Macaca fascicularis: one gene and its partner. The protein of the gene in region 1 interacts with the protein of each later gene in a biochemical or structural test. Links are inferred from orthologs where the notes say so. Each region holds a gene or a part of one and is shown on either strand. Other genes may lie near its edges.

Region 1 (3,649 bases):
AGTTTGTTTTTTTAATTAAAAAATGTTATATTAAACATTCCTAAAAGTGTGTGGCACTAAAAAAGTTAACTATTTGATGACATAAACTACATTTGCTCAAGAGGAACTGAATACAATTATTGGATTTAAAAAATGTGTCTCAATACAATGCACACGTGCACTCACACGTCACACACACACACGAGGTAGCTGGCCGGTGGAAAGATGCCAACAGAAGGCTGGGCGCTGTGGCTCATGCCTGTAATCCCAGCACTTTGGGAGGCCGAGGCGGGTGGATCACGAGGTCCAGAATTCAAGATCAGCCTGGACAATATGGTGAAACCCCGTCTCTACTAAAAATACAAAAATTAGCTGGGTGTGGTGGCGGGAGCCTGTAATCCCAGCTACTCAGGAGGCTGAGGCAGGGTAATGCTTGAACCCAGGAGGCGGAGGTTGCAGTGAGCTGAGATCATGCCACGGCACTCCAGCCTGGATGACAGAGCGAGACTCTGTCTCAAAAAAAAAAAAAAAAAAAAAAAAAAAAAAAAAAAGATGCCAACAGAAAGGGCACAGCTTTACTTTGATAACGGCATGTGGAGTTGAATGGAAACCACTATTTTGTTATAGCATAACTGCTTACTGCTGACACTCAGGGGTGACGGTCACTCACTGATTTTTATTACCCAGACTGGAAATTGCAAAGGTGAACTTTTCCTAGTTTTTTAGCACATATTCTCATCCCCTGAAGACTGTCTCACTGGCAAAAAACCTAAATCTTCAGTAGCTTTATGGCCAATTTAGTGTGACTCAGTTGTAACTTCCAATTCAACGTCGCTGTACAAGACCTTGTGGGGAGAGCTGCTAGGTGTGCCGGCTTTGCATAGCTGGACTGATACGTGACTTGAGGTCTGATTATTCCATAAAGCAGCACGTATGCTTTCATTTATCTTTTTTACTTAATGGAAATCTTATGAGATAATGAAAGTGCTGCATAATAGTAAAAATAGCAAAGCAATCCCAGTATCTTTGTTTTCCATAGTTTCCTCCAATGGCAAGTTTGCAAAACTACAGAACAGTATCTCAACCGGGATACTGACACTGATAACCCCCCAGGTCTTTTTCAGATGGCCCAGTTGACTTGTAACTCATCTGGGTGTGCACATCTAGACCTCGGCCAAAACCCCAACAGTTCCTGCAGAAGGCTACCTCCTGGGGCCTTTTATAACCACACACCCCGCTCCATCCCTACACCCCGGTAACTTTTCATCTGTCCTCCATTTCCAAATTTTGCCATTTCCAGAATGTTATGCAATAACATGTTAAGTATCTGCGATTGGCTTTTTTTTTTTTTTCTCTCAGCGTAATTCTCTGGAAATTTTATCTATCTTTTCATTCTGGGATCTAAGAATAGTCACCAGCAAGCACACACACAGACTCCTGCTAAACGCTCACCATTTAAGCTGGAAAATTCATGCAACTGGCACATACTGAAAACACGAGTTATCTGTGAAGGGGCCCTGATGTTTACCTCAGTTCTCCTGTTTCTGTAAGGGGCATCTGGAGAATGGCTTCTCATTATAGAGGGTCTTCAGTAGGTTTCTTGGGCTGGGCAACACTGGCACTCTGGGCAGGTGATTCTCTGTGGTGAGGGCTGCCTCGTGCATTCAGCAGCACCCCGGGGCTGCCCAGCAGAGCAAGCAGTACCCTCTCTGTTCAGACAGCCACAAACGTCTCCACACATCAACAAGTGTCCCCTTGGTGGGGTGGTGCCCTGGGCCGAGAGCCCCTAGTCTTCAGGGAGGTCCTATGTCAGCACCGAGGGGCTGTTCTCCTGGGCAGGACACGTGAAAACTCAGGGTACTGCCCAAGAAGCCACTCTATGACGGGTTAGATTGGGCTTGTCAGGGATGCCAAAGAAATGCTTTCGAAACATGAAAGCGAAAGTTTAAGTAACAAATCCTAAATTTGGTCTGTTAAGAAATAAAGTCTATAAAGCTACCTAATATGCCAAATAGATAATAGTTCTCACTGAGCTAAGGGCATGAGGAGATCTTGTCTGACAAGCAGATTTACAAAAATGATTACTTTCAGAAAAATCATGATTTAGAATTAAACCAATATTTACGCTGATGAAGAAGAGCAAAACTGTTGATCTTTAAGTTATACTTTCTACCTGGATGGTGCTAATCACTGCTGGTGTTATCTTAAAAAGCAAATTCACACTGGTGATGGGGAAGCAGATAGAACACTACCATCCACCCTATCATCTATGATGAAAATGCCAACCGGCCCTCCAGCAGCCCAGTTCCCTTTGTCAGGGCACTGGGTGTTCTCAGGAGGGGCTCTGCTCCCTGCAGGAAACGCCCGCGCCTGCGGCCTCGAAACCCCACCAGTACCTTGATGTACTCGCTCCAGTGCTGCAGCAGCGCCTGCTGCCCGCCCCTAACCCGGCTGAACAGCTGGTACATCTGCGCGAGGTCCGGCACTCTGTTCTCGTCCAGTAAGTGGTCAAGCCCTGAGATGTGCAGTACACGTCAGCAGAGTACAGCATGGGCAGCATTAACAACAATAACTCAACTAGAATACAGCGTGCAGGGTAAGAACGCCAATACACCGCTTAGAAACTGGGCGGCTCTACACATCACTGCCTGTATATGAGAAGGTTGATCTGGTTAAATATCTGAGATGGATCCTATTAGGTGAACCTCATTTTTTCTGAGCATGTTGGAAGATGTATTTACTTCTTCATGTCACTGAAGCCCTCTTATTTCACTAAAGTTAGCAAGTCAGAAAATCCAGTTTACACCAACTATTTAACCTGGGAGGTTCATGTTCCCAATATACTTCTAATTTAGTCCATCAGCCAGACAATGTAAAAGGACAAGCTATCAAATCTAATTTATAGTGGATTAAATTTATTCACACCTAAACTATAAGAGAAAAATATCATCAGATATTTTGAAGTATTTAACACAGCATTTAAAAAAGTTTTCAGTGTTTTAGATTTTTAATGTTTATAAGGGTTTTCTAAAACCATACCTCAATTAGAAAAACTCTCATAGATTTTCTAAATACTTGCTTTATGGTAACTATTGAGAGGCAGCCAGGTTAGAGCACAAAACAGTGAACAGTCATCCAATTCACAAAGTCTCAGATTCTGCCCACAATGGGCCCGATGTCCACACAAATGAGGTGGTTTAAAGATGTGTGCAAACATACGGTGGGGCTATAATTACAATTCTTTTTTTTTTTTTGAGACGGAGTCTCGCTCTGTCGCCCAGGCTGGAGTGCAGTGGCCGGATCTCAGCTCACTGCAAGCTCCGCCTCCCGGGTTCACGCCATTCTCCTGCCTCAGCCTCCCGAGTAACTGGGACTACAGGCGCCGCCACCTCGCCCGGCTAGTTTTTTTTTTTTTTTGTATTTTTTAGTAGAGACGGGGTTTCACCGTGTTAGCCAGGATGGTCTCGATCTCCTGACCTCGTGATCCGCCCGTCTCGGCCTCCCAAAGTGCTGGGATTACAGGCTTGAGCCACCGCACCCGGCCTACAATTCTTACCTAGAGTTCCAAATGTTTATTTCTCTCAGTTACATTCTGATCTACTGACACAAACTTTTTGTACTTTATCTTACTAAAACCCATGTCTTTTTTTTTTTTTTTTTTTTTGAGGCG
Region 2 (3,649 bases), on another chromosome or scaffold:
CGTTGACAGGATGCCTGTGCGGCAGCGAGTAGAGGAAGCTGGCTTTCCCTCTAACCTGGCGCAGGTCCCAGATTTTCACTGTTTGATCTACGGAGGCTGTGGCCAGGAACCAATCACAGCATGGGTTCAGGGCCACATGCGTCACTTTCTTTTTGTGCATTCTGAGATTCCAAAGCTGCAGAGAAGAGCTCGGTTCAGGTGGGGACACAGAACCGAGGCGGGGATGAGGGAGGGAAAGGCAGGACCTGGGAGAACGCACCTCTTTGCCGTCCATGTTCAGCAGGATCACGTTCCCCACGTTGTCTCCTGTGACCACCATTCGGCTACTGGCGGACACATCCAGGCTACAAAACCAGATGCTGGAGGGAAAGACTGTGTTGTAAGATTCTTGGGGACAGAGATAGGCCTGTTTACTCACTGTTGCTGCTCCAGTGACTAACCCACAGTGGGCATTCAATAAATATTTGTTGAATGAATGAATAACTGTCTTGCTGTGGATTCCTAGCGAGGAACATTCAGACTGCTCTACCGTCCAGACAGAGGGAATGGGGTAATGGGGCTCAGAAATCTGTCTGGTTACTGCTGGGCCCAGGATCCCCAGCTCCTAAGAGTCTCTGAAGCAGACAAAGCTCAAACCATAAAGCAAGCCTCAGGGCACGCCCGCCCCCACACCCCGGGTTCTAAGCAATCCTCCTTTACTGCTCTCTCCTTTCACTCTCCACCCTTTGGGCCAAAGGAGACACAAGCCAAACAGGGATTGCCTGGCTCTGTTCCTCAGAGCTGGCTGGAAAGGCACTTCTGCCCCCTTCTGAACACTGAGGGAAAAACACACAACCAGGAGCTCTTCTGGTCCCTCAAACCACTGGACTGGGAGGCTGACTAGGGGTGCTTCAGGGATCCTGCTATCCAGCCAGAGGAGCTCAGCTCAGTTTTTCTCTCAAACCCTCAAATCCATGCTACACTGACTTTTGCCATCCCTTATGAATATCTTCAAGCAAGAAGATTTCTTGCGGAAAACGAGCCTGGAGCCTCGTCTATCCAATCACCTGCTGAATTGCGCATGCACTCCTCATCCCTGCAGGACAGCCCAGGATCCCATCCAATGCTAGTTACACCCCAGCACCCTCACTTAATTCCTCAGGGAGCAGTCAGAGTCCCGGCTCTAGCTGGAAATCAAAGTGACGAGCATTTTGTAATTTTTTTTTTTTTTTTGGAGATGGAATTTCACTCTTGTTGCCCAGGCTGGAGTGCAGTGGCGCAATCTTGGCTCACTGCAACCTCTGCCTCCTGGGTTCAAGCTACTCTCTTGTTTCAGCCTCCCAAGTAGCTGGGAATTACAGGCACCTACCACCACATCCGGCTCATTTTTTGTATTGTTAGTAGAGATGGGGTTTCACCATGTTGGCCAGGCTGGTCTTGAACTCCTGACCTCAGGTGATCCACCCACCTTGGCCTCCCAAAGTGCTGGGATTACAGGCATGAGCCACCGCACCCAGCTGCATTCTGTAATTTCTCCAGCCACTTTCTCTTGGGAAGTTCAGAGCACTTTATGGACAAGATTCCATCCATGTAAGCTTGCACCCAGGAACGGCTCAGGTCATTACACCACAGCGAGTGCAGGGAATTCAGTCTCAAGTTCTTAGCTGCTGCTCCATTCTCTAGGTGGCTTTCTGGGCCTATGCCATGCTGGCTTATCTAGTGAAGGTCCAGGTCTAGTCTAATACAGGTATGACTTACAGAAGAGCTGAGGCTCCAGAACACCTTCCCAAAGCAGTAACCCACCTGGACCAAAGTGAGGGTGGCCAAGGAACAGTTTGAGAAAGAGAAAGAAGGGCGGAAGGTGGCTGACATCTTTCCTTTCTTCCCTGTGCCAGGTTGGGTTGAGGAAATGGGATCTGGATGCTCTTGCCGGAACTACACCTAAGCTTAGAAGCCCTTTCCCCGCCTAGTTAAACTACTCACTTGATGGTGTCTGAGCTGGCAAAAACTCGTAGAATGTTGCCTTTAAAGTCTTGCAGCCTAGTTGTTCCCTCCATTGAGGAGGCGTAAAACTGGTTGGTATTGAGAGGGTTAAACTTCAGCCCAGTGATGCTCCCTCCAGCTCCAATCTAACACGAGGAAGGAAAAAGCCAGTGAGTGATGATGGGCCTGGCAGTGAGGAACCAGGCCTGGGCACGCGTGCTGCGCTGTCACGGAAGCACCAACGAGCAGTGCGTGGGGCCAGGTCAGCTCGGACACCTAAACACTAGGACGCTCTCCACAGAGCCTTCACTTCTTTTTCTTTTCCCTTGAAATAGGGTCTTTCTCTGTCACTTAGGCTGAAGTGCAGTGGCACGAACACGGCTCACTGCAGCCTCAATCTCCCAGGCTCAAGCGATCCTCCTACCTCAGCCTCCCAAGTAGCTGGGACTACAGGTGCACACACCATGCGCAGTTCATTTTTGTATTTTTTTTTTTTTTTTTTTAAAGATGGGGTTTTGTCATGTTGCCCAGGCTGGTCTTGAACTCTTGAGCTCAAGCGATCTGCCCACCTCAGCCTCCCTAAGTGCTGGCATTACAAGTGCTAATTTTTAAAAAATTGTTGGTAGAGACAGGGTCTCATTGTGGTGCCCAGGCTGGTCTCGAACTCCTGAGCTCAAGTGATCCTCCTACCGTGGCTTCCCAAAGTGCTAAGATTATAGGCATGAGCCACTTTGCCTGGCCCCTTCTTTTCTTTTTCTTCCTTTCTTTCTTTCTCTTTCTTCTTCCCTCCCTCCCTCCCTTTCCTTTTTTTTGTTTTTTTTTTTTTTGAGATGGAGTCCCACTCTGTCACCCAGGCTGGAGTGCAATGGCGTGATCCCGGCTCATTGCAACCTCTGCCTTCCAGGTTCAAGCGATTCTCCTGCCTCAGCCTCCCAAGCAGCTGGGATTACAGGTGCCCACCACCACGCATGGCTAAATTTTGTATTTTTAGAAGAGACAGGGTTTCACCATGTTGGCCAGGCTGGTCTTGAACTCCTGACCTCAGGTGATCCGCCAGCCTCAGCCTCCCAAAGTGCTGGGATTATAGGCGTGAGCCACTAAGTCTGGCCTCCCTTCACTTCTTAAGGCTTTATTTTTACTTTCTTTTTTTTAATTAACATATAGCAAATTTGGGGTATACAGTTCTCTGAATTTTAACATATGTATAGATTTAAATAACCACCACCCAAATCAAAATGCAGAACATTTGCAACAGCCCAAAAACTCCATTGTGCTATCCCATTGCAATCACACCCTCCCCTCGCCCCCAGCCCCTGGCTGATCTGTTCTCCATCACTATTGTTTTGCCCTCATAGAATGTCCAATAGACCAGGCACAGTAATCCCACCACCTGGGAGACTGAGGCGGGGGGACTGCTTGAGGCCAGGAGTTCAAGACCAGCCTGAGCAATATAGGGAGAACCCCCATCTCTACAAAAAAAAAAAAAAAAAAAAAATATATATATATATATACACACACACACACACACACACACACATATATATATAGGCATGGTGGTAGGTGCCTGTGGTTCTAGCTCCTCAGAAGGCTGAGGTGGGAGGATGACGGAACCCTGGAGGTCGAGGCTGCAGTGAGTTGTGATCGCATCACTGCACTCTAGCGTGGGTGACAGAGCAAGATCCTGTCT

Evidence for each region. The genes of interacting proteins can lie anywhere in the genome.
Region 2: the proteins of CUL4A (region 1) and DDB2 form a complex in vitro, tested with the Homo sapiens proteins (2 studies listed by BioGRID, with this or other methods). The link is inferred for Macaca fascicularis from reciprocal best matches to the Homo sapiens genes CUL4A and DDB2.

What each region holds. Positions count from the first base shown.
Region 1 is NC_088391.1:103,655,825-103,659,473, reverse strand, and holds part of CUL4A (cullin-4A), read right to left. Parts: intron 2,495-3,649; coding exon 2,376-2,494; intron 1-2,375. UniProt on the Homo sapiens protein: Core component of multiple cullin-RING-based E3 ubiquitin-protein ligase complexes which mediate the ubiquitination of target proteins. As a scaffold protein may contribute to catalysis through positioning of the substrate and the ubiquitin-conjugating enzyme.
Region 2 is NC_088388.1:18,611,643-18,615,291, forward strand, and holds part of DDB2 (DNA damage-binding protein 2), read right to left. Parts: intron 2,109-3,649; coding exon 1,963-2,108; intron 360-1,962; coding exon 260-359; intron 176-259; coding exon 1-175.